Schizosaccharomyces pombe: one gene and its partner. The gene in region 1 interacts genetically with each later gene. Each region holds a gene or a part of one and is shown in the gene's direction. Other genes may lie near its edges.

The links.
Region 2: mutations in fcf2 (region 1) and cwf28 together harm fitness more than expected from each alone (negative genetic interaction), as found in Schizosaccharomyces pombe (one large-scale study listed by BioGRID).

The regions. Positions count from the first base shown.
Region 1 is NC_003424.3:3,143,312-3,147,600, forward strand, and holds fcf2 (rRNA processing protein Fcf2), read left to right. Parts: upstream 1-2,555; coding exon 2,556-3,248; downstream 3,249-4,289. Other genes in the region: SPOM_SPAC688.16 (uncharacterized protein), read left to right, coding at 611-735, 814-1,018; TRAPP complex subunit Bet5, read left to right, coding at 1,903-1,939, 1,987-2,417; DNA-binding transcription factor Sak1, read right to left, coding at 3,896-4,289. UniProt on the Schizosaccharomyces pombe protein: Involved in pre-rRNA processing and 40S ribosomal subunit assembly. Required for the early cleavage steps of 35S rRNA at the A(0), A(1), and A(2) sites.
Region 2 is NC_003423.3:3,990,867-3,995,936, reverse strand, and holds cwf28 (splicing factor Cwf28), read left to right. Parts: upstream 1-2,951; 5' UTR 2,952-3,099; coding exon 3,100-4,245; 3' UTR 4,246-4,325; downstream 4,326-5,070. Other genes in the region: oms1 (methyltransferase), read right to left, coding at 1-299; signal recognition particle receptor alpha subunit Srp101, read right to left, coding at 581-862, 941-2,101, 2,280-2,480; fes1 (Hsp70 nucleotide exchange factor), read right to left, coding at 4,407-5,070. UniProt on the Schizosaccharomyces pombe protein: Involved in spliceosome maturation and the first step of pre-mRNA splicing.

The DNA.
Region 1 (4,289 bases):
AGGTATATATCACTTACTTTATATTAGACAACATATTTAGAGAATGAAAATTAAGGCATACTAATTTTTTTTTATACTTTTTTTTTTATTTCCTAGTAATATTATTGTTTTTTTGGTTTAGTATTTCGTTATGTGAATAGTAAACTTGACTATTCAGTAATACTATAAAAATAACAAATACTGATATTGTAAAATCTCACATTCTATTTATTATTAGTAACCCAACAGATTTGCACACATATGAAAAAGTAATTATTCAAAACACTAATTTACCAAGTTGAATCAACTTCTAATGTTTTGAAACGGATTTGCTTGAGGAATATGTGAGATTGTCAATGAATGTAAGTGTCAAATTACTCAATTGTCTATTTGGTTAAGTTAGTACTGCTATGTTTTTACGGGTTTTATTAAAAGCATATTAAACGCCGAATAAAAGGCAACATTCTTTATTATAGCAGATATTGTTTGTAAGCACGATAGCGAGGAGTTTTACCGCTTCCTTAACGTTTGCTATTTGTATTGATGGTCATACTATAGATATCCCGTTTAAAGAATTCTTCTACCTATATAGAACCTGAGTAAATTTAGACCAAACTAAGATCATTACAATATGTCCTGCCTGAATTTACATGTGCCTAAAAATCCCGTTGGAAAATATATTCCACTTGTAGTGCTTTTGCAAATGTACATTATCTACGTGGAGCCATATTATGGATTACATTACTTTGAAAGTGTGTAAGTGAATATGAAATTCTGCAAAGAAATATAAAGAATAATAATGTAAATAAACAAGAAAGCTAACATGAAAACAAGGCGACAATTTTTAGGGCCTAAAATATTGTATGGAACTGTTTATTTTTTGGTCATTTGCCATTCCATTGAGAGTGCAATTGCTTTCCTATTATGTTTAAAAAAGGGATTGCCATTTTGTAGTTCAATGAAATGGATTGTGTCTACCTTTATTTTTGGAGGACCAACGCTTGCTATGCTGAATAAGCAGAAAAAACATATTGCTTGAGTGCAAATTGTTTTACAGAGCCATTGTTTTGTTAACTGTATTATCACGATGAATGAAATAAAATTACAGTTTATGCCAATTGCCAATCGAGTTATTATTTTTTTTTTGTTGACAAAAATCTATATTTCCGGATTTTTGTTTATTTTAGTGTTTTCTAGAGTAGACATATTTCTGAACGATATAACATGAATAAAGGGAAAGTTGTTTAAATTTTCACGGTCTTCGGACCCAAACCTGTAAGGAAAAGCAAAAATAATTTTTATAATAATAATTGTATCAATTTCATCAGATCAAGGGTATAAAATCATAAGATGAGAATAACAATAGCTTCGAAGGGATAACGCTTATGCTTTTGAGGTTGCTAGGAATTAAAAAAAAAAAAAAAAAAAAAAAAAAAAACCCTTAGTTTGTCAGCGCTGGTGTTGAAGCCGGGATATAATATCCCTTCATATTGGTAACTAATTTACAATAGAAATATTATATGTATTTATTGATACCTACAATACTAGCAGTTAACAGTTGAAAAAGTTAATTTGCTTGTCGGAATCGTGTAAACTCATTTCAAATAATGAGTGTATAGGAAGCCGCCAATTTTTGGACAGAACTTAAACGCTTTATTTTTTTATTTTAAATCCATTTAGCTGCAACAGTCCAACGTTCGAAGACCACTTGCTGATTGTGGTCTAAATAATTTGCTTTCTTTAGTTTAACTATAAATAAAGTTGCTTTTACCGAATATGTTCAATGATAGCATCGTCCAACTGAGATAATGCTTGACTGCACGCTGTTAGCCAGAGCCCTTACTTAGTACACCAAAAGTCACGACTTAGCAAATCATCATTAGCATTCTCGATATTATCCGTCTTTTTCCTGTAGTATTTATTATGACTATTTATGCCTTTTATATTTATAGCAGAAAATGTATGCTTTATTAGGCTTGCCACATGATTCAACTAACAAAAATGTAGGTGAATGTGTTTTCGCACATAGGTGGAAACCCTCGGATCGCAACTCTATGGAAACGTTAGTTTCTCAGTTGGAACAAAATTCTATTGAAGATGACATGGAGAAACTCATTTTTGGTGTAGTATTTTCCTTGAGAAATATGGTAAAGAAAATCACAGCTGACCAAGATCAATTCATGTCCTATACGACCAGCAAATACAAACTACATTTTTACGAAACACCTACGAATCTACGTTTGATTTTCATTACAAATCCAAAGATAGATTCTTTAACTCATGTCTTACAGCAGATTTATACAACACTTTATGTCGAGTTCGTGGTTAAGCATCCTTTGTATACTCATGTCCCTCCCAGTGCCGAGGAAGGGGGCATTAATTGCGAAATATTTCGTATTACACTAGACCGATTTGTGAGAACGTTAAGCTGCTTTTAACAATGAACACTTGTGATACGTTAAAGGTACATTTAGATTTTATGTTACTTGTGGATGATTTTTGCGAAAGTAAAGTTGGTCAATTGCCTTTCTTCATCTACTGACAACGCTTTTGCCTAAATCCGTTTATTTTTAACAATGACTGAGATTGGGCTCTCTGTAGATTTAGCAACAATCTCAAAGCTACTAGAATCTGCAAAATCCACATTACAAGAAAAGCAAGCGTCTGACGATGATAAGCATGGCCAACAAAAGTTGCTCACCAAAATTCCCAAAATAATCAGCTCTTCTTTTGAATTGCCTTCATATTTTGAAAAGAAATTCGTTATGGGATTGAAAAAAGATGAATTAGTGGAGAATAGCGAGTCATATATTAATGATGCGTCGTTCGAGCCAACAGTACCTATTTATGAAAGTCATGTTTCAGCCCCTGGTATATCAAAGAAGAAGAAAAATATTAAAGACACTGCTGGATCGAATTGGTTTGACATGCCTGCCACCGAGCTCACAGAATCGGTGAAACGCGACATTCAGCTATTGAAGATGAGAAATGCACTAGATCCGAAACGGCATTACCGAAGGGAAAACACGAAATCTATGCCCAAATACTTTCAGGTGGGTTCCATCGTTGAAGGTCCTCAGGACTTTTACTCTAGTCGTATCCCCACTCGAGAGCGCAAAGAGACAATTGTTGACGAATTATTGCACGATTCAGAAAGACGATCGTACTTCAAGAAAAAATATCTAGAATTACAAAAATCGAAAATGAGTGGACGGAAGGGGCAATATAAAAAACTTCAGCAGCGCCGAAAACCTTCTTACTTGAAATAGTGGTTGATGTTTCCATTTTCCGTTGTTTAAGTTATTTTGTCGTTTTTTTAATTTAATATATGGTCTTTAAGGGGAATATTTAAACATTTTATTTGAAGTCTTGTTTTTTAAACACGAAGTTTCTCGTAGAAAGTTCGCTTTTAGTATGATGCTGTTTTTTTGGGGGTTCGCTATTCTTGTTGAATGATATCGATGCCAATTTCCTCATTTGTATGGGCTTAATATTCTTGTTACTGCCAGAGAAATGCAATAATTACACTCAATAGTTTAAATAGGTTTTATAAAATAGTTATCGGAGAACATTTATATTAATCAATACATATGTGATAGTCGATATCAAAATTAAAGACAAAAATGTTGAAACTCTATTTACTGACAGTGAAATTTTAAAAGAAATAAAAAACAAATATAAAGTATAGTCACTTTCAATTTGGTATATGTATGGACGTTCACCCATAAGAAACAAGCGCCAGGATTATAGTAATCTAATTGCATTTCAAAAGTTCACAGACTTAAACAAATAGACCTCCTGAACAAAAGAAACATATATTAAAAAACAAAAACAATAATATGAATGATATTAACTTTTGTCAGTGTAATTACGCTTGCTTTTTCGAAGCCCTAAAAAGGGTCAACTATATTGTACATCAACTACAAGCACCATTTGTATCAAATACAATGGATATATAGTCGTCTTCCTTTTGCTTCTGAGCATTCTGGTAGGCAGCTTCCATCAAGGAATTTTTAGTGGCTTGTTGTTGTTGTTGTGATTGCAAAGCTTCGATGTCTTGTTGGAAGTGTTGCTGGGATTGACGGTGCTCCTGTAAATGAGGAGGGATATTACTCTGAGATATTCCAGCTTTATTATGAAAGTTAGCATGATGCTGTTCCAGCTCATCATAACTATCATCGAGGTATCCGCCAATCTCTGCCACCCAAGTCATGTATTCATCGACCCAACATCTAATTACCCAAAGAGCCCCAAATGCTTCACCTCCACTGACCGTGATTTCACGAAGCACACTAGTTTGTAAAGCGCCT
Region 2 (5,070 bases), on another chromosome or scaffold:
GGGAAATTAGTACCTGGTCCACTCCCAACTTCTAATACATCACCCTTCGCATTTCGTAAGAGGAAATATCGAAGAAAATATATTCCAGAAAATATTTCCTCTCGCGTAATTTTTCTGCTATATTTATCAGCAATTTGATTATAAATTGAAATACTATTGCTGTTCGGAATTAATAAGTCTGACTTCTGTCGCGATTCATAATTGAGAACATCTTTCCTCAACCTCCAAGCTACCGCACCAATGTAGACACCTAGACCGTATATACCTCCTATAAAGATAGTTTTCTTTAATATGCCCATGTTTTTTAATATTTTTAAGTATTTTAATCGCTGAATGAATGAAATGAGAAAAACAAGATTTTAGCGGTTTGATATTAGAATATTTGAAATCGCTAAATTGACCCACACGCGCACTGCGAAAGGTACTAAACGGAAACCAATACAAAACTAAATCTCGAATACTGATTCAACGAACAAATAAAAAAACAATTAAGCTTAAAAAAATTGTTACCAAAGTAATTGATATCCCATTAATATAATATGGTAAAAAATCTTATAGTTAAAGGTAAACATTTAATGGCTTACTTCATCAGTTGATCAACTACCCAGTCGACTGATAATGTACGAAGATCACTGTAAGTTTGTCCAATGCCTACGAATATGATAGGTACCCTTACCGCGTATACCATGCCAACCATAACACCAACTAGCTGACCCACAGTATCAACTTTAGAAATAATAAAACCATCCAATGGGCGATGATAAAGGGAAGCTTGGAAATGTTTTGCTTGTGCTAAGGAATCTGTTCCTACTAATGCTTCTGCCACTTGAAAAATTTTATCCAGCTTAGTAGCTTTAGTAAACTGTTATGTTAGTTCAAAGTTCAAACAATTCTATCTTAGTAGAAGACTCAATACTTAATCAATTTTGTAAGTAATTACCTTTTCCAATGATCCCATAAGCCTTTGATCGTTATGTCTCCGGCCAGCAGTATCAATTAATATAACATCAAAACTATTTTGCTTGGCATACTCAACAGCGTTCTTAACAACAAAGCTCGAGTCTTTACCATATCCCTGTGCAAATAATTCAATGGAGCTACCCTTCAAACTTTGGAGATTTTTCACATGTACTCCGAGTTGTTCAATTGCACCCGAGCGAAAAGTATCGCAGGCAGCAACTAAGATTCGAAAGTTGTTAGATAAAAGCCAATACGCTATTTTAGCCAATGTTGTAGATTTTCCAACACCATTGACGCCAATGAGAGAAATGGTATACGGACGGTTTTCGTTTTTGCGTACAGAACGAATACTATGCAAAAGGTCCAAAGATGTACTTGGGGTGAGTATTTGAGTAAGCCTATCCCGAAAGGCCTTGTTTACTGTGTTTTTCACAGTATCAAACGAACCAACTTTTTTGTTTATCAACGAAGCCTTCACAGATTCACAAAGCTCCAGAGCTATAGAATTTGCGACATTCTTTTTTGTTAAATGTTCTTGCATTTGCTTTAAAATTGGACTAAGATCCTCCTCCTTCAAGTATTTCCCACCTATTAAGTTGGAGAAAAGGGAAAACGCAGAAGATGCAGATTTATTGGAAATTGTTTGATTGGGATCCATTTCCAAATCACTTATAATAACATCACCACTACCAGTCTTTTGAAACTTATTATTATTACCCACAATAGAAGAAAGTTGGGAATTATCGACTGTTTGGGAAGCAGAAGATGCTTGACTAGAATAGTTCAATGCAGCCTGTTCTTCCTCAGTTATTTGATCATCCCATTTTCTGAGTTGCTTCTTTCCTTTTTTAGGGGCATTTGTTTGCTTGGATTGAGCGCCTTTTTTCTTCATTTCATATTCATTTTTCTTTCTTGCTGAGTTATCATTATTAGCCTCAACAGGTAAAGATTTCGTGTCTGTTTCATTCTCCAGTTGTGCTGATTTACGATTAAAAATGGGAGCGAACAGTTTTTCAACTTCTGCTTCATTAGGAACTTGACGATCTTCTAATTTTTCTTTAAATAGATTCAGAAATATATTATGAGCACTATTAAGCAGTGATTGAGAATATGCCATACATTTCAAATCTTGAAACACAACCTAAAAATTCAACCGCGTTAATTAAGTTCAAATGACACGATAAAGGTATGGCTTTGACTTTGACAAATAATAGAAAATCAAAGATAAAGTATAAACAAAAAAATTTTTGGACCTCATTTTGGGTGTATAGTAATTGACAATTTCTGTCAAAGCACAAATCACAATATATTAAACTTACCACAAAAACTATGCTATATTGTGTAGCCTCTTGATACTGCATGGTGTACCGATCAAATGTTACGGTGTTGTTCACCGTTCTTTGCTCACTTAAGAAAGCTTCGTGAAATAAAACTTGAAGGCATTTCAAATTAACAAGAGAATTTGTTTTTTTCCAAAGTACTATGCCTCCTTTATTAACTATCGCAAACAAGTCAATCATTCCAGGCTCAATCACAAATGGCTTTAAAAGTAGTAAACTACTCACCAACTAAGAAGGAGTGTTCTTGATTAAACACATTGCTCACTGCCGTACAATACATAATAACGCACTATACCAAATCTATGGTGCTAATTGAGTTAAGCTATTTGCTTAAACATATTTTTCTTAACGTATTTTAAAGATTACCTTAAAACTTGTTGTATGCAATATTATACAAGGATAGATGCAATTTGAGACTAAAGGTTGATATTAACAGTAGGCTTTCGTTTCAACCAAAATTGTTTATACTTTTATATTAATAAAAAATGCCACTAAATAAAAAAGCTATTTTTTTACTGCTATTTGAAGGTGCGTTTTAAGTAAGGGAGAAATGAGCATGAATTCTGTAATCCAAATAAAGAGGTAAAGGGAGCACACACTATTCCATGTCTGGGCAACGAAAAATTCCTGAAAAGCTTCACAACTCTCATTGTACGAATGTGATTATTCTCAAGACTATTTTCACTGTAATTTTAAACTTTCCTTCCTACTTATAATCTGGCCGATTTTTGCCATTTTATTTTTTTTGTTCATTGTAATACGCTTAGTCGCAAACAAGTGAGTTATCATAATAACTCTGATGAAGCGAAAAGCCGTATTAGAAGCATTCAGCGATTCTGAGGATGAAGATGAAAAAAAATTAAAAGGTCCTCAACTTATTACTGGATTTAGCGCTGAAGAGGGAGTTCATTATCAGAATGAAACTATTCAGCGCATACACGAAAAGAAAAGAGCGCCAAAGATAATCCACATTGCAAGTGATGAGAACTGGATGGAAAAAAGAAAAGCCAGGTTTAAAAAAAAAGAAACAGAAGTTCATGAGAAACCTTCACAATTGCCAGATAGCGGCTTAAATTATGGTCTAAATATTCGGGTGGCTTCTTCATCAGCAGCGGATAATGAAATTGTGGACTGGAAGGCAAATAATTCAAATGAAAAGGCTCAAAATAAGATAGCCACAAATAAAGAAAGTACTGATATTCTTCCTGAAGAAGTCCAACTTGTCCTTAATGATTTAAATGACGATGTTAAAAGTGCTAATTCTGCCAACTTACAGCCGATTACCACTAATGTTGTTAACGAGAAAGATGCATATAGAAAAGACATTGACGAGCTTCCGGAGCCTTCTAATATGAAAGATTACTCGGAAATTCCGGTTGAAGAATTTGGCGCCGCCATGCTTCGAGGAATGGGTTGGAATGGTCAATTATCTTCTAAAGATGCTTTTGATGTTAATCAAAGGCCGACGTTTTTGGGTATGGGAGCCAAGCCTGTGGATTCCGAACTTACTGAGCTGGATATTTGGAAAAATCCAAAAAAGACTATGTTTCTTCCTGTTAAGCCTCTAGAATCAAATTCCGCTCTGAATTCACAAAACGAACATACTGAAGTACAGAAGAAGTCAAATTCCATTGACAACTTAACTCCCAGTTCAGAACTATTCAGAAAAAGAAGCCGAGATAACAACCTCTCAAGAGAGTCTTCAGTGAGCAGTAAACATTTAGATTATAATTCACGAAATTACAACAAACGCGATAGAGATCCAGACAGAACTAAGTATCGCGAATACCATTCGGAGCGCCGGAAACAACATCGAACAGACCGTTATTCAGATGATTACTATCAAGGAAGGAGTTATTCATATAAAAAACGTTCTCATAGAAGCGATAGATATACTGAGAGAGAAAATCCAGATAGAAGTTACAGAAGTACTCGTACACTTTAATGAATTTACGATTATCTTACTTTTTAAGTACCACAGTTACTAGAGTATCCTTTCCAAATAACCAAAAAATTGTTTATCAGTCATAAACGAAATAAAACATCTCATTATATTGCTCCGTAGTCCACATGAATAATAAAAATAGTAATCGAAGCTTTCAACCTTTATTCAAGAGCTTCGTGAAATGCTTTCCATTCATCGACGGTGAAAATTTCAGGAAACTCTGACTTAAATTGTACGAGCGACTTTAATAACTCGTTAGTATTTGCGACAGACACTTTATTTTTCTGGAATAAATAAAGTGTATGAAGAGATTTGGTAACACAATCCTCATCGACAGAATGTTCAAGACTGAATTGATAAACTTTTTCTGGAATCTGAAATTCGTGTGCCTTTTGAAGAATAATTTGTTTTGATTTATCTTCTTGAATAAGTAATGCATAGAAAAAAAAGATAACTCGTTTTGTCATAACCGAGTGTTTAAGCTCCAAGATTTCAATCAGCATTTCCCAAGAGTTTGGGATTTTATCTAATAAAGCAATTCCAGCTTCGTTAAGTTTAAGCTCACTAGTTATTGCATAAAGGACTTTATTTTTTGTTTCATCCGAATCCTCTTTTTTTAGGGCGCCGAAGAGAATCTTCAATCCATCATTTTCTATAAGCGCTTGTTGAGATTTAGGATTATTTTGAACGGCAGTTGCGATCGTCCAAGCAGCTAATCTGCGCAAGGTAGATTCCGGACTCTCAAGCTGTTTCAATAGGCGAGGCCACAATTGCAGGGGAACCAAATTATTTGCATTGTCAATATGCTCTACGAGCATTTCTAAG